Macaca mulatta: one gene and its partners. The main gene of each other region encodes a partner of the protein of the gene in region 3 in a complex. Links are inferred from orthologs where the notes say so. Each region holds a gene or a part of one and is shown on either strand. Other genes may lie near its edges. The genes, in order: CFAP276, PIERCE1 and TUBA1A.

What was found.
Region 1: the proteins of TUBA1A (region 3) and CFAP276 are in contact, whole or in part, in a cryo-EM structure (PDB 7UNG), measured with the Homo sapiens proteins. The link is inferred for Macaca mulatta from reciprocal best matches to the Homo sapiens genes TUBA1A and CFAP276. Residues at the interface, in NP_001257328.1 of Homo sapiens: Lys112, Glu113, Ile115, Asp116, Leu117, Leu119, Asp120, Arg123, Lys124, Asp127, Arg156, Ser158, Val159, Asp160, Gly162, Lys163, Leu195, Glu196, His197, Ser198, Asp199, Tyr262, Pro263, Arg264, Trp346, Lys430, Asp431, Glu434, Val435, Val437; in NP_001231954.1 of Homo sapiens: Pro43, Trp44, Arg46, Leu47, Asn48, Thr50, Pro51, Thr52, Ile53, Thr54, Ser55, Arg57, Arg58, Ala60, Tyr62, Asp64, Ile67, Pro68, Lys69, Asp70, Asp71, Phe74, Arg75, Lys90, Ser91, Leu94, Leu95, Asn96, Lys98, Thr99.
Region 2: the proteins of TUBA1A (region 3) and PIERCE1 are in contact, whole or in part, in a cryo-EM structure (PDB 7UNG), measured with the Homo sapiens proteins. The link is inferred for Macaca mulatta from reciprocal best matches to the Homo sapiens genes TUBA1A and PIERCE1. Residues at the interface, in NP_001257328.1 of Homo sapiens: Met1, Arg2, Gln15, Asn18, Ala19, Glu22, Cys25, Leu26, Glu27, His28, Gly29, Ile30, Gln31, Pro32, Asp33, Met36, Pro37, Asp39, Lys40, Asp46, Asp47, Ser48, Asn50, Glu77, Gly81, Thr82, Tyr83, Tyr224, Thr225, Asn228; in NP_001041730.1 of Homo sapiens: Tyr28, Pro35, Gly36, Arg37, Phe38, Trp43, Phe44, Arg45, Gly46, Tyr47, Arg48, Thr58, Ser59, Asn60, Gln61, Ala62, Tyr63, Gly64, Arg66, His71, Glu72, Pro74, Phe77, Tyr78, Pro79, Asn80, Ser81, Asn82, Lys83.

What each region holds. Positions count from the first base shown.
Region 1 is NC_133406.1:131,102,358-131,109,088, reverse strand, and holds the start of CFAP276 (cilia- and flagella-associated protein 276), read right to left. Parts: upstream 3,147-6,731; 5' UTR 2,886-3,146; coding exon 2,805-2,885; intron 1-2,804. Other genes in the region: endosome/lysosome-associated apoptosis and autophagy regulator 1, read left to right, coding at 4,340-4,486. UniProt on the Homo sapiens protein: Microtubule inner protein (MIP) part of the dynein-decorated doublet microtubules (DMTs) in cilia axoneme, which is required for motile cilia beating. May play an important role for the maintenance of myelin-axon integrity.
Region 2 is NC_133420.1:7,004,220-7,010,850, forward strand, and holds part of PIERCE1 (piercer of microtubule wall 1 protein), read left to right. Parts: intron 1-556; exon of another isoform or gene 557-1,093; coding exon of another isoform or gene 1,094-1,685; intron 1,686-3,246; coding exon of another isoform or gene 3,247-3,376; intron 3,377-3,831; coding exon of another isoform or gene 3,832-3,984; intron 3,985-4,174; coding exon of another isoform or gene 4,175-4,217; exon of another isoform or gene 4,218-4,245; intron 4,246-5,431; exon of another isoform or gene 5,432-5,441; 5' UTR 5,442-5,446; coding exon 5,447-5,589; intron 5,590-6,621; coding exon 6,622-6,631. Other genes in the region: MRPS2 (small ribosomal subunit protein uS2m), read right to left, coding at 1,094-1,685, 3,247-3,376, 3,832-3,984, 4,175-4,217. UniProt on the Homo sapiens protein: Microtubule inner protein involved in the attachment of outer dynein arms (ODAs) to dynein-decorated doublet microtubules (DMTs) in cilia axoneme, which is required for motile cilia beating.
Region 3 is NC_133416.1:56,350,646-56,357,376, reverse strand, and holds the start of TUBA1A (tubulin alpha-1A chain), read left to right. Parts: upstream 1-3,039; 5' UTR 3,040-3,129; coding exon 3,130-3,132; exon of another isoform or gene 3,133-3,688; coding exon of another isoform or gene 3,689-3,691; intron 3,692-5,336; coding exon 5,337-5,559; intron 5,560-5,681; coding exon 5,682-5,830; intron 5,831-6,145; coding exon 6,146-6,731. UniProt on the Homo sapiens protein: Tubulin is the major constituent of microtubules, a cylinder consisting of laterally associated linear protofilaments composed of alpha- and beta-tubulin heterodimers.

The DNA of each region.
Region 1 (6,731 bases), on a different chromosome or scaffold from region 3:
TCCTGACCTCAGGTGATCCACTTGCCTCAGCCTCCCAAACGCCTGGAATTACAGTCATACCTTAATTGAACAGTGTGTATCAGCCACTGTGCTATCACCAAGAATAATGAAGTATGAAAGAAAGAAAGCTACAGGTATTTGATGCCAGCATAGGCTCAGTTATCCTTTGATGTGGCCCTGAGCAGCACTCCTCCCACTCTCCTTGAAGACCACTTAAACCTCGTCATCTCTGTCAGCAGAAGGATGAGATTGTCTTTCACTGAGAAAGTCCAGACTGTCAAGCACGAATGTCATCTTTACATCCACTTTCTTTCCATCTCAGGGAAAGGAAAGTCCCTTTTACTCCCCGGACCTACACTTCCCCGTGCTTCTGAGACCTGTACCATTCTGCATATGCTCTTTTCTGACCCAAGCCTCTCTTCATTTCTTTGTCATGGTCTAGCTACCAGCCTATCACTTTCCCTACACAACCAGACCTTTTCAGGAGTCAATATTTACTCTCTCTACTTCCTCACTCACCATTCCCATGCCCTCTTTAGCTCACTGTAGTCTGGCCTCTGCCTCAAGCACCCCCTAAAACTGCTCTTGCTAGTTATCAGTGAACTCTGTGGCCAGTTCAGGTGGATCCTTTCCAGGCCTGATCTTATTTGAACTCAGCTGTTTCTGACATCATAATGCTGATTCCCTCAAATGCCCACACCATGCTGTGTGGGCCCAGCTCCTCTGGGTTTTCCTCTTATTTCTGGCCCTTATCTCTCAGCTACTGTCTCAGCTCCACTTTCTCTCTGTCCCTTAGACAGTGCTATTCTCCAAGGGTCTCGTTTTTGCTTTTCTTATGCTCACATCCACTGGATGAGCTGACTCCCTTCCATGGCTTCAACTACTATATGGATACCGTAGCTCATATGGATACACAGCTCCATCATACATCTTCAATCCAGAACTCTCAACCCTGTTGCTTACTATTGATCTTCACTTAAATGTCCCACAGTAGACTACAAAAACGTCTACATAATTGATGTTTCTCAACATCTTTCTCCCCAAACCTGCTTCCCCAGGATGCCCCATTTCAGTGAACCCTCAGAATTAAACCCTTAGGAACCTAGCAGTTATCCTAGACTCACCTCCTCTCTTGGGCCCGTATCCAGTCAGTCCCCAGGTCCTGTCAGTCCTGCCCTGTGCACTTTTCTCACATCTGCACCTGATCTCCATCCCCTGTGGTACTGCTGTAGATCCATTACTCTTCCTCCTGGAGATCGCCTCACTTGCCTCCTAACTGATCCCTCTTGTCTCACTCTCATCCTATCCAGTCTGCTGCCACTTGTGCTTCCTAAAACACCCATCTGATTGTGTCACTTGGTACTTAAAATCCTGCTATGGGGCTGGGACCTACGGCTCATGCCTGTAATCTCAGCACTTTGGGAGGCCAAAGCAGAAGGATCACTTGAGGCTAGGAGTTTGAGACCAGCCTGCGCAACAAAGGAAGATCCTGGTTCTACAAAAAAATAAAATAAGAATTTGCCAGGTGTGGTGGCACCACCTGTGGTCCCAGCTACTTGGGAGGCTGAGTTGAGAGAATTGCTTGAGCCCAGGAGTTCGAGGCTGCAGTAAGCCAAGATTGCACCAGTGTAGTCCAGCTGGGGTGACAGAGCAAGGAGACCCTGTCTCAAAAAAAAAAAAAAAAAAAAAATCCCACCATGATTCCTCACATACCTAGAATGAAACCATAGCTAGCTAGCTAGCATGGTGTACACAGCATACCCAGCCCACCAAGGGCATCTCCCAGCTCTGATCTCTGAGTGCCTCCATTTCATGCCTGCACTCCAGCCCTTCTGGATTATTTGCAGTTCCCCAGACAAGCCATTCTCTCTCTCCTTTCCATGTATTTGCACCTGCTGCTCCCTTTGCCTTGCATATCTGGTTCCTGTTTCCTTCTTCCTAACTCATATTCTACCCACTCCCTCACCTGGCCTACCTAACTCATATTTGGACATCAAAATGCATCTGCTCTGTGAAGCTTTCCTTTAAGTTCCTGGTTCTCACGGCACCCTACACACAACTCTGTCACAACATGTGCTGTTGTGCAAGCATTTTTGCTATTGTCGGTCTATCTTTACTACTAGAGTTCCTTAACAGCAGAAGCTACATCTAATTTATTTATATATCCTTGGTGTCTAGCAGAGTGTCTGGATTATAGTAAATAAGTATTGAATAAATAAAAAGGGGCTCTTAATATTGTTATTAGACAACAATTACCACTTAATTCATCTTATTGTGCACCACTTCAAATATCCCAATCACTCCTACCAGAAAAAAGATCATCTAAGTTCCTAAATCAGTGACCACCATCATGCTAAACACACACATAACAAACACATTGTGGTGTTAACCAGAAGACAGAGACAGTGTGAACACAGATGTATAAAGCATGACCTCTGGTGACTTTCAGAGGATTCTCTCCCACTCCATATCTCATTTCTCTTCAGAGAACAGTCTTCCCAACAGGGAAATGGGTAGCTTGAAGGAACCTGGGCCCTCCCATAACTTATACTCACAATTGATTTGAGTTGCCAGAGCCCCTTGTTCTTCTAGACTAGAGCTCTACTTTCCCCTGCTCAAAAACTCCTCTGAAACGTTAGCCAACCTGAATATGGAGATAGGGAGGCAGGCAGAAAACAGACTTCTCTGGTACCCGACTGAGTGTCTTCACCAGAGTGCTTTATGTTACCATCTCTGCCCATCACACTGACAGAAAGAAGACTATCGGTGACCCTACTAGGAATCTGCGCAAGAAACCACAGTACCTTGGAAGCCCGCAGTTCTCCTAAGTAGGAATCATCGTTATCTAATGTAGGCTGCTGGAAAGGGTCCCGGGTGGGAGGCATGGCTAAATGCCTAACTCTTCTAAGAGGGATGGGAGGTCCGCTCAGCCGCAGCACAGCCTCACTCGCATATGATCCCGGGTCCCAATTGTTTGAAACGCTGGTTTCGGTTGCCAGGCAACTGCCCAGCCATCTAAGACAGAGGAATTCCCTCCGAGGAGGGCGCCACCTGGCGGCTGACCGCGGGAGGCCTCTGGGGAGGATGCTCCGGGGAATGCAGAGGGAAAGCGCCGCTGAGTGGGCCCCGAGCCTTGGAATTGCACTCCTGAGCCTCGGCGGAAAAGCGCGGGCCGCTCACCATCACGACTTCTGCAAAAGATTTCAGTTGAGGAAAGAAGTCCTTAAAGATGACCCAGAAATTTCCTTCTGGCTCGCACCTAACAAAAGGCTTTCAAAGCCATGAGAGAATGAGGATGTCAAGAGACCAAAGAGGGCCGGGCGCGGTGGTTCACGCCTCTAATCTCAGCACTTCGCGAAGCGGAGGCGGGCGGATCGCTTAAGCCCAAGAGTTCGAGACCAGTCTGGGCAACATGGCGAAACCCCGTCTCTACAAAAAATAGGAAAAAGATTAGCTAGGCTTGGTGGCACGCGCCTGGAGTCCCGACTACTCAGGAGGCTAAGCCAGGAGAATCTCTTGAACCCCGGAGGCGGAGGTTGCAGTGAGCCGAGATCGCGCCACTGCACTCCAGTCTGGGTGAGAGAGTGAGACCCTGTCTGGGGGCGGGGGACGGGGTGGGGGGGGGCACGTGCGGTACTTGGAAAATTGCGGCTAAGGCAAACTCCTTGCTTAAACTCCGATCAACTGCAGTGTCAGGGCTTCTCATCTAGCCGGTTGTAAAAGCACGGATGGATTTGGCGGGATGTAAGATCTCCAAGAGTGGCCTTCGTAGGAGGGAACACGTACTGGGGCCTCTTCTAGGCGACGACTTCTGGAGGGTGCTCTCTCCATCTTCTTTCTCTCGGTTCACATGCCACGTGTACAAAATCAGATATGCTCATAAAATAACCCCTAGCCCGAAAGGGCTGTAGAAAACGGAAATTTGTTGGCGCTGGCCTGGAGGATGCTTCCACCGCGTTCTTCACACGAGCCCGGGGCATGCCTGTTGGGCCGGTTGCGCACCCCGGGCGCGCGCTCTCCCGCGCCCACGCCGCGCGCACCAGCTGCGGCGGCTGCCATGGCGACCCGCAGGTGAGCGACAGAGGCGCGCGTGGTCCCTGCCCCACCCGCGCAGAGCCAGAGAGGAGGCGGTTGTCAAGGCGACGTGGGTAGGAGGAGAGGACTGAGGGAGGAGGAAGGATGGGCGGTGTTGGCGTAGCCGCAGGGAGGTGACTGGAGCGAGCCTGGCCTCTTGCATCCCCTCCCTGTGTACCTCCCTCCCCTTTTTTTCCGCCTTCTGCCAGCAGAAGCAGCAGCCGCAGCACCTGAGCCGCTACTGCCGCTCACTCAGGACAACACTATGGCTGAGCCTGGCCACCGTCTCTCCGCCAGAGGCAGGGGAACAACTGAGAGGCGCACACCCTGGCTGTTGCGGCTGCTGCTCTGGGCTGGGACCGCCTTCCAGGTGACCCAGGGAACCGGACCGGAGCTTCACGCTTGCAAAGAGGTACTGCCGCCCCCCTACCCGACCCCGCTTTGGTCACAAAAGTCTTGGATCCAGGCGGAGACCTTGGGGACACAGGCGCAGAGAGTTTCAGACGCCACAGAGTTTAGATTTCTTTGGGGATGAGGCATGGGGGGAGGGAAGAGGAGCCAGTCTGGCGTCATGAGGAGGCCAGCACATTGGAGGACTCACGGATAGATCAACCTCACAGCTTGGGATGCTGAGCTCAGCGAGAAAGGTCCCAGCCCCAAGAAGGGGAGCTACCTGGGTACCTGAACTCAGAATGAGGGAGGAAGACGAGTTGTTTTCCAGCTGGGATGAATTCATCTTAAAAGTGGTTGACAACAAAAGATTATGCACAGAGAGGCAAAATAGGAAGAGGAAAGGAGAGTAGTGGGAGAGGAAAGGAGTTAGGAAGGCCAGAAAAAAGTACCGGAGCGAAGTGATTTTATCATGGCTACACAAAACGGAGTGTGAAGGTGGGAGATGTGCGAGAGGGATGATAGGATCCCAGCTCTCTAGTTCCTTGTTTGTTAAACATCGGTTAGTGAAGACTGTTAAATGTGGCTTCTCCTTATAGCTTGGCCTCCCCGCAGCGTACTATGTTTAGTGTACCTGACAGCACACGACTCACCTTTCTGCAGATTTTGAGTTCTTCAATATCTTGTGTTCTGCCAACCTCTGGTCTCCTCTCTGACTTCTGCTAACATATGTCAAAGTCTTTTTCAAGGTATTTCCAAAATGTTGGAAGCAGAATTCAGACAATAGGTAGTCAATGTCTTATAACCAAAAATATCTTTTGAAAAGTCATCTTGGAAGAATGCAAAAGGGCACTAGGAGCAACAAAACAGTCTTTTCTCTATTATTGAAATAACGATATTTGGTTGTGCTCTGAGCAACTTTTTTAGAAACCATATGGCAGAGGCAACAAGATATTTACAAGAACTACGTTGGGGAAGGCAAAATGAAAGTTCTGTTATTTCTGTGGAATGTGAAGGACTAAGGTTTTGAGAGGTTAGTGTATATATATATATATAAAACTTTAAAATATATATGTTTTAAAATAGAAATGAGGTTTCAATATACTGCCCCGGCCAGTCTCTAACTCCTGGGCTCAAGCGATCCTCCCACCTCAGCCTCCCAAAGTGCTGGGATTATAAGAATGAGTCACTGCACCCAGTCCAGAATATTTTTTATAAATTGTTAGTGTGAACTGATTGCCAACAATAACTCCATCCCTTATGGAGATATATTCTTATAAAGATGTTCTGAGTCTACAGTATAGCAGGTCATAAAGAAGTCAGGTGTGGGGGGAAGGATTTTTGTGTGAATAAAGATACTTGATTTTGAAGATTCATGAATATGATATAAGTGACCCCAGTGAGTGGGACTTTTGATAACCTTTATTAGCCTCAATGACAACCTGCCCTGGGCCATCTACATTTCCACCCAGCTACATAATGACCTGTTTTAGAGATGGCAGAGAACAGGATGATCTTATCAGTGACTCTGGCTCACCGGCCTTGATGGCCTGTGGTCTAACCAACCAAAATAATGAGACGAAGAAAGCCCACTTGCCTAAGAATCAAACAAGGGAGTCTCCTGAGTGGAAGGTAAGAATCATACAGTTTAACTACCAATTCTTGTTGAGATCTTTGTCAACAATGGAAAATATGAGACATTTCAGAAATTAAGCACTTCTATTATCTTGATTTGGAGGAAGAGAAGAATATTGATACTTGAGAACTTGAACTTGCGTACGAATTTTGCCTTTGGTCTTGTTTGAATAACCAATATTTGCCTAAGCAAAAGGTCTTACCGCAAAGAGTAAGCTTAGGGTAGTGGAAAGCTATGGAGCTCAACCTACCAGGGTTTTAGTCCTGTTACTTACCACATGGTTTTTGGATTTGTAGAATGGGTATCAAAATAACACCTACCTCAGAAAGGATTGCTTTGAGTATTGAAATAGAAAATACATTGGAAACACAAAATAGAGTTACCTGCCCTTCTTCCCTGTTCAGCTTCTTTCCCATTATATCCACACTCATGCCAGATTGGAAATGGCTTAGGAGGCAGGCCCATTGACCGCAGGCGTCAGCAAGTCCTGTTTACATTCTCCTTGAGCAAACAGTGGCCATTGAACACCCTCAACTCCAAAACAATCAGGGAGAGAATAAGCCCATTATTATAGTATTCATTTGGCAATATGAACTGATCAAACAAGTTTGGGGGCTTCCAACCCCACACG
Region 2 (6,631 bases), on a different chromosome or scaffold from region 3:
CAGCCTAACCCTGAAGGGACAGGGATGGACGCTGGACTCCGGCCTCCCATCGCCCTGTGCTGCTCTTGCAGGGTAGGCCTTGCCCTACCCGGGGCACCAGACTCCATACAGCCTTGCTGCCCAGACTGCCCAGATGGCTCCTTGGGTGGTCAGGTGCATGGGGGAGGGGGACCTAGGTCCTAAGCAGCTCGGGATGGGGCAGAGAGGAGGTTGCAGCTTGTCCCAGGAACACGGCTGTGTTCCCACAGGTGAGGGGTGTTAAGCGTCCCTGTCAGCACGTGCCCATCTTTCCTGAAACTGGGAACACACCAAGCCTGTTCTGATGAATGAGGCTGGCAGGGCTGTGGGCTTGTCAGGAGCTCCACTGCTGAAGACGGTGCCCTCTAGTGGCAGATGGAGCTGGCACCTCTGCTGACCTCATTCATGCCCCTCACACACACAGTGCCTGTCCCATCTCCCATCACTGGGGCCCCAGTGCGTGCCTGAGAAAAAAAAAGCCACACCACGTGGACGAAAGCAAACGCACTCGAGGCAGAACCCCAAACTCCAAGTCTCATTTTGCCCAAATCTGAGTTTTATTTTTGCTGGAATCAGGTCCTCTGGCCTGGCTGTCCCACCAACCCAGCTGGGAGCCTCCGAGCAGCTTGCCTGCAGCATCTCATTACAAAACAGCCCCCTGGAACCAGGCAGTCAAGGAAGCAGCCCACCTGAAAGGCATTTAGATTGAGAAGAAAAACTGCACCTTCCTGACAAAGGTCAGGGGTCAGGGTGAAGGGAGGGCTGCTCGGATCACAGGGACAGCAGCGTCTTCCAGCAGCTCGGCCACACCAGCCATTGAGGTCCTAACTGCAGCCAAGGGGCCGTCCTGCGCACATCGCTCACCCTCTGCGCTCTGTTTCCCACAGAGCAAATGCAGAGGCAACGTCGGTCTGCTCAGCCACTGGTTCTGAGGCGGAACAGCGGATGTCTGCACTGTGACGTCAGCTAAGTAAGTAACAAGGACTGAGGATGCCGCTGACCCAGGGCTGGGGAAGGGGACTCCCAGCTCAGACAGGCTTGGCTGTGGTTTGCTTTGGGAGGAGTTGAGTGAACATCACAGGGAACGGCTCACGTCGGCCCCAGGAGGGTGGGCTGGCCCCTGGGCCCCGGGCTCCTTCTGGGCCTGCAGGCGATACAGAGCCTCAACCTGCCGCCGCTTCTCCTTGGCCCGGGTGATGGTCGTCTGGAAGAGCCTGCAGTAGAGGTGCACGGCCGGCGGGGAGTCGTCGTTGCCGGGTATGGGGTAGGTGATGAGGCAGGGGTTGCAGTTGGTGTCCACGATACCCACCGTGGGGATGTTCATCTTGGCTGCGTCTCTCACGGCCACGTGCGGCTCAAAGATGGTGTTGAGCGTGTGCAGGAAGATGATGAGGTCCGGCAGGCGGACCGCGGGGCCAAAGAGGAGGGGCGCGTTGGTCAGCAGGCCGCCCTTGAAGTAGCGAGTGTGGGCGTACTCGCCACAGTGGCGGGCCGTGTTCTCAATCAGGTACGAGAACTGCCGGTTGCGGCTTATAAACAAGATGATGCCCTTGCGGTAGGCCACATGGGCGGTGAAGTTCAAGGCCAGCTGGAGGTGCGCGGCTGTCTGTTCCAGGTCGATGATGTCCTGGTCCAGGCGGTTCCCAAAGATGTATGGCTCCATAAACCTGCCAGAGAACCCACCAGGGCAAGGGGGATGAGAGTTCACCGGGCCAACTCCACTGGCCCCTTGCAGGACACAGACGCCCACCAGGGACTCCCGAACTCCTCTTCAAGGGTACTATGGGCTGGGAAGCACAGTTTGCAACGCTCCCCGTGTGGACAGACGGCAGTGCAGACCTGTCCAGGCCACCCCCCTGCACGCCTCATCTCATGGCTTAATCCCTCTGACCCTCTACCTCTTCCCGAGGGAATCCTAATAGAACTGACCCCATATGGATGTGTGGACATCCAACATGACACCAAAAGGACATTCAGCCCCGTGCGGCTCACGGGGCAGCCCCCTCCGTCACTCTCCTCTTCCCGAGGCTTTGAGGACAAGGTCCCGCTGGGGTTGGACTTAGGGGGTGCTCTGGGCCAAAAGCATTAAGGAATCAGGGCAGGAGTGGCCAAGCCTGGGAGGAGAACCCTGATCCAGGGCACTGGACTGCTGCCGGCCTGGGCTGAGGAAGAGCGGGGCATGGGAGGCACCCCTGCCTCTTGGTGCATGGCAGGCAGGTCATCCACGTTTGTGGTTCCCAGGTCCTCACCTCCAGTCTACTCCCACTGGGTTCTGTCCCTTCCTCTCAAGCAACCCTGCCCATCAAGACACTGGCGACCTCCATCTTGCCAAGGTCACACCCTTGAATTCACTTCTCAGCAGCATCAACAGACAACCACATCCCTCCACCCCCGGCCGTCCCTCTTCACTGACTCCAAACACTGAAGTGCCCAGGGCTCCACCTCCGACCTCCTTTTCCGATGCTCTGGAAACACAAGTCCCCGATGCTGATGGCTTCCTGGGAGCCCATCCCTCCTGGTACCCGTGTGACCTCTCCACTGGGGCAGCTAAGAGTTCACACCTCATAGGAACCAAGCTTGTGATGGCCCCCAGGTCCCCCCTGGTTTTTGCCATCAGTAACCGGCACCAAACTCCAGGCAAAGAGCAGGTGTTTGATCCCTTTGGCCCCAGCCACCTCCGACCCCAGCCCAAGGCCCACTGGCTCTACCCCGCTGCCTCATGTCCACCTGCTGCTCTAGCTCTTCTGCTACTGCGATTTAAGCCCCACCACCCTCGCCCTGGACACCCACACCAACTTCCTCCCTGGCCTCCCACCTGCCCCTCCCATCCCCTCTCCCTGCAACAGTCAAAATGACCATGTGAGAATACAGGACCAGTCACTCCTCCTCCCCACAGCCCAGAAAGCCCCGCCCAATCCAGGGGGGGCCAGCCTCACAGGCTCTGCCCTCAGCCCTTCCATTTCTGAACCTGTGGAGTTCTGCATCCCCCAGCAGGCCTGCCCTACTAAGGGCTGTGAGCACCACCCCAAGGCACACAAGAGCCCCCGCCAAGCTGGGGAGTGAACTGCTGCTTCTGTGTGGGGCTCCGTGTTCCCATGTGGAGGAGGAAGGGCTGTAATCACCTAAAACTGACACGGGCCAGTTCAAAAGTGGCCCTAGAACCAGGGCAGGTCCCAGGTCCCAAGCCCTCCTGGGAACCGCTACAGCTCAGATGGGGGTGTCACCTACCTGTGCCGACAGCCAGCTTTGTGTCCCAGATGCACTCGGGCATCAAAGAGGCTTCTCACGGAAAACAGTTCCTTGACATTGAAGAAGTCAGAGTGCTTGAGGGGCTCATTCAGAATCTTGTCGTTGAAATCTACGGCAGGGAGGAGGAACGACGCTGTGTCTCCCACCGGTGGCAGCAGGGACAGGCAGAGCACAGTTCCCGCCCACCCCTGCTCCCAAGTGCCTCCTGTGACACCGCGGTGGGGAGCCGGGAGCCCCCCAGCCCCAGGAAAGACCTGGAAGCACAGGGACCTTTTCAGGAAACAGAGGGCTGGAGCCAGATTCTGATCCCGACCTTGCTCCTGGGTGAGCCTGGTCGAACCTGGTCAACCCCGTCCCTTGGTCTTACTTGGAAGACAGAAGAGAAAAAGAGAGGGGCCCAGCGGGTTTCTCAGGTCTTTCTGGCACCTCCCCACCTTGTGGTCTCAGGTGGCCAGCACGGGAGTGGGAGGAGCCCGGCCGGGCGCGCAGTTTCGACCACGTGCAGCGCCCAGGTCCCTGCAGGGTTCGCATCTCCCGCGGCTGCCGGCCTCTCCTAGTTCCTACCTGACTCGGCTGCGCGCCCAGTGTCACCGGTGCCGTCCTCGGACTCGCGGATCACAGGGGTCGCAGCGCTTCCAAGCGTCCTGCGGCTCGACCGAGCAGGTCCGGAGGTCGCCTTCCCGAGGAACCCCAGCCAGCGCGACGGCGCCCGGGCACCTGGGGGGAAGCAGACAGACGTCCTGGCGCCGCGTCCCGGGTGCACCACGCCCGCCCCCACCGCAGCCCCAACGGATCCCCTCTGCGTCCCCGCGCCCTCCTCGAGTCCCCTCCGCGTCCCCGCTGCTCCCTCGGGTCCCCGCGCCCCCTCTGCATCCTCCTCCCCAGGGACCCGCAAGCGCGCGCTCACCCGCGCCGAGCATTCGGGGCAGCGCGGCCGGGACGGTCGCCATGGCCGGGACGCGGGGCGGAGCGAGGCCTCCCTCCGAGCCGGGCCGAGCGGCCTCCCCTCCCGCCGCCGTCCGCGCGGGGCCGCAGTGCCACCTACAGGCCCGGAGGAGCCACAGCGCCGTCCGCGGGCGGCTGGGACCTCCCTGCGGAGGCGGGGCAGACGAGGGGGCAGGGCCCGGGGTCCCGGGCTTGAGAGTCTCGGGCCGGGAGTGGGGGCACCGTCCTCGCCTTGCAGCTCGCCCCGCCTCGCTAATGGGCCCCACCAGCCCGGGAGGCCCCTGACCTTTGGGGGAGCCCGCTGGGCGATGGGGACCCTCGCCTCCCGCCACGTGAGCTGTGAACCACGTCCCGCGCAGCCTCTCGCGCTCCAAAACTGTTTTTAATATTTATTTATTTATTTATTTATTTATTTATTTATTTATTTATTTATTTATTTTTTTTGTTTTGTTTTGTTTTTTTTTTGAGACGGAGTCTCGCTCTGTCGCCCAGGCTGGAGTGCAGTGGCCGGATCTCAGCTCACTGCAAGCTCCGCCTCCTGGGTTCACGCCATTCTCCTGCCTCAGCCTCCCGAGTAGCTGGGACTACAGGCGCCCGCCACCTCGCCCGGCTAGTTTTTTTGTATTTTTTTTAGTAGAGACGGGGTTTCACCGTGTTAGCCAGGATGGTCTCGATCTCCTGACCTCGTGATCCGCCCGTCTCGGCCTCCCAAAGTGCTGGGATTACAGGCTTGAGCCACCGCGCCCGGCCATGTTTTTAATATTTAAACGATATTTGACTTAGGAGAATTTCATAAAGTTAGCAAGATCTCGGGTCTCAATTTAGACTCGGGGTGCTGAGGGGCATATCATCCCTGGAGTACATTGGACAGCAAGCGTCCAATCGTTGTCTGCCGAGTGGACCTGCAGTGCTTAAACCCCATCACCCGGCTGGCGGGGTCCCAGGCCCTGGGGTTCCTTTCGCCCGGGAGTCCACACCCTCATGCTGGGGTGACCCGGTCCCCTCGCGGGTGGCTGGGGGCCAGGGGCTGCCCCATACAACGGTCCCAGCAGGGAATCTCTCGCCGTCCCGACCTTCCCAGTCGTTGGGGACTCGCTCGGCAGGTTCCCGACCCGCCCGCGGAGGAGCACCGCCCACGCGCGGCGCCTTTAAGGCCCCTCCGCTCCGCCCCAGTCACGTGACCTGGCCGTCGCTTGGCAACAGGACGCCGCCGAGTCCTGCTTTTCGACGCGCAATGGCGGAGGAAAGCCCCAGAGCGTGCGCGGAGCCTGTGGAGCCCAAGGCCACGGCCCCGCCTGAGAGGACCAGCGACTACTACCGCGTAAGCGCGGACCTGCCGGGCAGGTTCAACAACCCAGGGTGGTTCCGGGGCTACAGGTGAGGAAGCTGGGGCGCGCCTGGTCCTGGCGTCCACTGCTCGATAGCCCCGTGTGTGAGAGACCCCGCAAGACCCCCAAGGTCCTAGCTGCAGAAATCAAGAGGATCGAGGGGTCATCCGGGGCCCGCGCTGTCATCGCCCACTAGTGAGCAACGAAAGTGCTCCCCAGAGCCTCATACAAGGAAGTGGGAATAGGGTCAGTGAGAGGCAGGGCCGTAGGGGGGAGAAAATCCAGTTGTGGTCTCAGCTCTACTGTTTTGTGTCGGGTGAGTCTCCTCGCCTCTCTACCCTGAAACCCCGCTGCGGGGCGTGAGCACAGCAGCACCTGCAGCAAGTCTACTCAGCCAGCTGTGAGCTGCCACAGGGCATTGCAGGCTAAGAAGCAGTAAGAAAATTCCTGTAGGCAGGTGCAAGCATCTTGCCGTGCTCACACATGTGGTCCCTCAACAGTCCTCTAGGGCAGGGTCTGTTAGTATCCTCGTTCTCCCATTGAGACGACTGGAATGTAGAAAGAACAACTTGGCCAAGATCTAGGAGTATAAAGTAGAGCTAAGGTGTGGGCCTGCAGCCTCTCAGTAGCCTGTCCTACTGACAGGTAGGGGCAGTGGTACCGAGAGAAGCATCACCTCAGCGAGGGTGGGGGCTAAAGGCAGAGGGACCCTCTGGGTGGCAGAGTCTGGAGGCCAAGCCTCCGCTCCTGACAGGCTAAGTTACCCAGAAATTGCAGCATGTGCCAAGGTCCTGCCAGGGCTGGGGGTCAGCACTTGCTGGCTGCCTGCTCTTTAGGGCTTTGGCCTGCCTTGGAAGAGCAGGGACCGTGGTGAGCAGAGGGGGCAGGGGAGGCCGGGCCATTCAGAACGGTCATCAGCCAGGTACTCCCAGAGGCTGCCTTTGAGGCTGCATCACCAGCCCAAGCACATTGCTCTTTCTTTGGGGGCATTTCCAGTGGAGTGCTGTCAACCAAATGCAAGGCTGTGGCTTGTGCAGAATTAGATTAAATGAACGAAAAGAGAGTGTTTCTCATCTACCAGGACCCAGAAG
Region 3 (6,731 bases):
ATCTGCAAAGGCTGGGCACCGTGGCTCACACCTATAATCCCAGCACTTTAGGAGGCTGAGGCAGGTGGATAACCTGAAGTCAGGAATTCAAGACCAGCCTGGCCAACATGGCGAAACCCCATCTCTACGAAAAACACAAAAATTAGCCGGGCATGGTGGCCAGCACCTGTAATCCCAGCTACTCAGGAGGTTGAGGCAGGAGAATCACTTGAATTTGGGAAGCGGAGGTTGCAGTGAGCCGAGATCGTGCCACTGCACTCCAGCCTGGGTGACAGAACGAGACTCCATCTCAAAAAAAAGAAAGAAAGAAAGAGAGAGAGAGAAAGAAAGAAGGAAGGAAGGAAGGAAGGAAGGAAGGAAGGAAGGAAGGAAGGAAGGAAGGAAGGAAGGAAGGAAGGAAGGAAGGAAACTGCACAGAGAGCTATTCATTTAACTGAACAAACGTGGTGTATAACATCTACTGTAGTTAGGCACTTTGGCAGGAACTAGGACTTACATTTTAATGGAGGAGAAATGTAGACATGTAAATAAATGATTAAAATTCTATAAATACTATGAAAGAAGAATGTTTTATGCTAATCTTACTGTGTACAAGAATGAATCCATTAGCAGAATATTTGTACATGTATATTGATGTCAAGTTTTTTAAAATGGCAATAAAAATAAGAGGTGAACTAGTAAAGAAAAATAGTTTTGCTTTCCACAGTTTGTGTGCTATTAAATCAGATAATAAGGAACAAAAATTATAGATTAGTTATATCCCCTGATCTTTTGTTTATATATTTGAGATTATCAGTGCTCAAATAGTCTATTTCTGACCTAGGTCTTGTTATATATGCCCAAGCAGAAGGAATAACCCTCATTTACATAAGGAACAGAATGGCTCTGAGATAGAATTACAAAGAATCAACCACGTGAACACTCCTCTCTTTTATTTAATCTTGGGAAATTGCATAAAGAAATGAGACTATTGGGTAAATAACATATTTCTCAATTAATCTTTTTATATTGTAAAGAAAATAATATTCAAAGCTCTGCTTCTCATTCCAAAAAGACTTGTACATGTTGCTATGGTCCAATAGTGTCTGATATATTTTATGATTAAAATTGTGAAAGTATTTTGAATGAGCTACTTATTAATCCTTAGGCTTCCTTATGCCATTTAATTCTTATTTTTGTTAAATATATTTCTGGGTTCTGAAAGAAGCATTCAAATACCTAATCCTCCTGTCTCTTCTGAAATATGCTTTCTTTGTTTTTTTTTTTTTTTTTTTTTTTGCTAAAGAGGTGGAAATAAGATGATGTTGAATATTATTTTTTCCTAGGAAATATGTTACAAGTAGATAAAATGATTTTTGCATTTTGGATATTATTTTTTTTCCAGAAAATATTACTGAAGCAAAATTGAACAAGTAAAGCAGAACTGTGGATGGCAGGCTAGAAAAATTCGTGGTCGCCATTGTCACACCACAACCTGCAGCAGCTGTATTCTCAAGTCCCTCCCTCCCACGCCCTGCTCAGCCTGCCAGCCTGGCAGGAATGAATGGGCTCCGCAGAGTGCTGTGTGAGTAGTTGCTGCCCACCCTGAAAATCTGCCGCTGAAAACCAAAAGGAAAAATTATTTGTAAAAAATAAATTTCCAACTTTAGTGGCCAAACTTACTTACCTCTGAAATTTCATCACCAACATCCAGTGGTACGAAATCCAGTGACTCACTCTGCATAGCCCATCGTTGCTGAGAATGGAGCCTTTCTAAATAGCAAGACAATGTTACTCCAATTTATTTCCTAGGGGTGAAAGCAAAGCCTTTTTGTCCCAAGGGGCAACTGAGCAACCACCAGAGTCTCTAGTTGAATAGCAAGGGTGTGAGGCTGGCTAAAATTCCCACAGTCAGAAGCCCACTCGCAGGAGGATATTTACCAAATTGACATAAGAACTGCATAAAAAGTAAATGCAGTTATTGAGCTGATGTTTCACAGTTGTCTGTAGATGGAGGCAACATTGCAAAATAGTCTTCTTTTTACATTATATTATTCTCTTCTTCTTTTTAATTTGGTGTCTTGGTTATTACTATTATTTTGCTTGTTACTTTCCAGACAAAAGTCCAGTGCAGATATGTAACTGCACACATGTAGTACTAACTTCTGAGCTCAATTATTTCTCCTTGTATTTTCCCAATTTTATATCAGGAAAGATGATTCATTCCAAAGGACAATGCACCACACAAAATGTGTTACATAGACTTCTCATAAAGGAATACCTCTAGTAAACTATTATAACTACTCTACGTGCACTTGCTGTTGATTATTGCCATGTTAGAACTATTTGTTCGCTTCTTTATTTAGTATGGTTATTATTTCCATCTTCCAGTTTTATTTAGCTATTCGAGTGTGCATGTGCCTGCAAAAGAAGCTCTGAAAATAAGTTAGTTGAACCTGAGAAGCCATTTTGAATGACTGTATGACTAAATGTTTTTTTTAAATTAAAAAAAATCACAATTACCCAGACCGTTTTGAGCATTACGCCCATTTTCTCTCCCACTTTATTTTTAAAGCAATTAGAGATATTGAACCCTAACAAAATGTAGTCGAGTTTAATATACTGCGAGGGAGGGGCTGGCAGTAATTTTCCTTTAAATATTTAATCTGAACATAAATCTGTTATTAAGGGTAGGGGGAAAAAACCTCACATAGATAATTTTAACTGCATTTTGGGGTTTAAGCAACATAAAGTCTTCCAACCCCAGTCCCCTTTCTTCTTCCGCCCCTCCCCGACCCCACCCCATAATGGATGCTCGGCAGAATGCTTCTGCACGGTCTCTTTGTCTAAAGGATGCAAACAGTCTACGGATGCTAGAGAAAAAGGGGTGGGGGAGAGATTACCTCATCCCACGTCGTTTGCACCAATCACCAGTCTCCTGTCCTGGCTTCTCTGGGCAGATTGGGGGTCTGGACCAACAGGAACAGGCCCCGGCCCATCCCCATGGTGACCGAGTTGTATATATGGAGCCGCATCCGCCCATGTGCCGCAGGTTCTCTTACATCGACCGCCTAAGAGTCGCGCTGTAAGAAGCAACAACCTTCTCCTCCTTGTCTCCGCCATCTGCTCTGCAGTCGCGAAGCAGCAACCATGGTGAGAATCGGCTTTGGCTCTTTGTGGCCGTTGGGTGGAGTCAGCGCCCCCAGGCTCTGCTTGGAAAATCTTTAAGCTCTTTTCTTTCGTAAGCTCTCTGGGCGAGGGTGGTGGTGTGTTTTGTGAGGTTTAGCTTTACCCCAAATCCTCCAGCTCCGCCGCCGCCGCAGTGCGGGTGCAGGAACCCGGCCAGGACTGCGCCCAGGGCGCTGCAGAGCGCTGGGGAGGAACAAAGGCGGCGCCTGGGCGCCTGTGTTGTCCTACAGCCTTTCGGGGTCGCGGGCAGCCCGTCTGCCGCAACCGAGGGGTCTCGGGCGTCCCGGCTGGGTCCAGTGTCTGTGCGCACGGTTTCGCAGACGCCGAGGGGCCCCTTTCTGTCTCGCCTCGTTCTCTGGGGACCGGGAGAGGAGGAGGCACCCAAAAAGAGCGGGGGCGTTGGGCGAGCTGGGGGATGTGGGAGGGGGAACGGGAACAAAGCGCAGCCTGGGGTTAGCGTGGGAAGACCCCTCGCGGTCGTTGGCGTTTTGGAAAGATAACCACACATTCCCGGGGAAACATGGTGAGTTTCTACTGGAGCCCCCGGCAGCGGGTGTCAGGGCGGCGCAGGGGCGGGGTTGTTTGTTTCTGGCTTCTATGGCGTTGGAGCCACTGGGCGGGGTTCGCCCTCACTAAACCTCCTCTGTCAGGAGCTGACTTAAAAAAAACTTTTCATCATTGCGGAACTGTAGGCTCCAAAAGGGTTTTCTTCGCTATTATAATTAAGATGACCTTTTTTTTTTTCTCTTGAGCAAAATCACAATTCACTTGACAAACTCTTTAATGTCTGGTCTGGGGACGCCCTGCCCTGACCGACTGAAGTGTGTGTGTGTGTGTGTGTGTGTGTGTGTGCGTGCGTGCTGCTCGTTCAGCGAGGGAGAAAGCCTACTTTGTGAGCCCCAGGGTACCCTGATGGTCGTGTGTGTGTGTGTGTGTGTGTGTGTGTGTGTGTGTGTGTGCGCGCGCTGCTCGTTCAGCGAGGGAGAAAGCCCACTTTGTGAGCCCCAGGGTACCCTGATGGTCAGGACCAGGGAAACGCCCTTCCCCGCCGCCCCCCTCCGCCCCGCCCCCACCACATCAGCGAATAGACAATGAAAGTGGTAGCCCTAAAGACCACAGAGAAGAAAACCTCTATTGGATGCAAAGAATATGAATATTATGTGGTGGGTAGAGAATCTCAGGATTAAAATACTATTTTGTTGTTTTAAATAAATATTTCACTATCGTTCCACTGGGCTTTTATTCTTTGTTTGCTACCTTTTCATGTGATGCTTGTTTCTAACTTAGGAACGTGTGTGTGTGTGTGTGTGTGTGTGTGTGTGTGTGTTTTAAGATACGGATAATTTTTCAGCTTTTACAGTGGAGAAGATCTGGAAAAACCTTTTTCTTTAAAAAAAGGAATGAAATTGCTACAGACAAAGAATTATACTCCGCATCCCGTTGTCTTTTGTTCTAGTGCATCTTCATTAATTCATTTCAATTCAGGCACATGGTCCCGGGCGGGGTCAGAGGAGGAAAACTGGCAAAACAGCACAATGAGATCATGTAGGCAGTTGCTGGAAATAGAGCTTGCTCTGTTAAATAATGTAGCAGACAGTACAGGCTAGCACCAGGCACAGCAAATACAGCAATGCAGCAATGCAGAAGGCAGAAGCAGACCTTGTCTAAACCCCTTGTATTGATGGATTCTGCAGACAGACTGCAGAAGGGTGTGGCTTCTTGCCTCAGCTGCAGTACAGATGTCCATGTTATAATATCAAGTCAGTCCTATTCAGAAGAAACTTTCTTCTTTATTTAAAAGGGAAGAAAGCAGTAAAATTAATCCCAATTATGTCATAATTGAATTTACTTCATTTTACAAAATTTGTGCTTTGAATACTGAATACTTTTTAAATATGAAAAGTCTTTTATTCAAGCATGGTAGTAGGCACAATGGGCTGGTACCATGTGCTGAACAGGGCCAAGGCGACATCATTATTCAGACCACACCCATATGCAGCATTTGCAGCAGGTCATTTTCCTTAATCTTTGTATCGTGCTAGGGATGTGACCTCAAATAATTTTGAAAAATATCTGTATATTATTAGAAATATTTTTAAAAGTTTACTAAAAGTTTGAAATGCTAATACGCCTTAATTTTACAATTTTTTCACTTTTCCTTCCCACAGCGTGAGTGCATCTCCATCCATGTTGGCCAGGCTGGTGTCCAGATTGGCAATGCCTGCTGGGAGCTCTACTGCCTGGAACACGGCATCCAGCCCGATGGTCAGATGCCAAGTGACAAGACCATTGGGGGAGGAGATGATTCCTTCAACACCTTCTTCAGTGAGACGGGCGCTGGCAAGCATGTGCCCCGGGCCGTGTTTGTAGACTTGGAACCCACGGTCATTGGTGAGTTGACCTCAGTAACCCAAGTGAGATCCCAGGATGCTGGGACAGGAGGTCTGTCCTGGGGGGCTCCGCTAGTCACCCACTCACCCACTCCCTCCATCCTTCTCTCCCTCCTTCTCCAGATGAAGTTCGCACTGGCACCTACCGCCAGCTCTTCCACCCTGAGCAGCTCATCACAGGCAAGGAAGATGCTGCCAATAACTATGCCCGAGGGCACTACACCATTGGCAAGGAGATCATTGACCTTGTGTTGGACCGAATTCGTAAGCTGGTATGTTTCTTTTCAAGAATAAAGTAAATTAATGAGCCTAAAGAACACATTTGAAATACTGCTTTTTTTTTTTCAAACAGAATTGAACTGTTATTTTAATAAAGAGTGGAATGAGTCGTTCTTGTGGGGTTTTTATCAGTTAAAATGAACTATTTGGTATCATTTTGTAAATGTTAATGAGAATTTTTTAAAAAGCATTTGTCAAAATAAGATCTAAATCCTGGGAGATGTATGAAAAGTGAAAATATATTTCCTATGATTGTACTACAAAGAACAAAAACTTAACCTTTCCTCTGTTTCTCTCTTTTGTAATAGGCTGACCAGTGCACCGGTCTTCAGGGCTTCTTGGTTTTCCACAGCTTTGGTGGGGGAACTGGTTCTGGGTTCACCTCCCTGCTCATGGAACGTCTCTCAGTTGATTATGGCAAGAAGTCCAAGCTGGAGTTCTCCATTTACCCAGCGCCCCAGGTTTCCACAGCTGTAGTTGAGCCCTACAACTCCATCCTCACCACCCACACCACCCTGGAGCACTCTGATTGTGCCTTCATGGTAGACAATGAGGCCATCTATGACATCTGTCGTAGAAACCTTGATATTGAGCGTCCAACCTATACTAACCTGAATAGGTTAATAGGTCAAATTGTGTCCTCCATCACTGCTTCCCTGAGATTTGATGGAGCCCTGAATGTTGACCTGACAGAATTCCAGACCAACCTGGTGCCCTACCCCCGCATCCACTTCCCTCTGGCCACATACGCCCCTGTCATCTCTGCTGAGAAAGCCTACCATGAACAGCTTTCTGTAGCAGAGATCACCAATGCTTGCTTTGAGCCAGCCAACCAGATGGTGAAATGTGACCCTCGCCATGGTAAATACATGGCTTGCTGCCTGTTGTACCGTG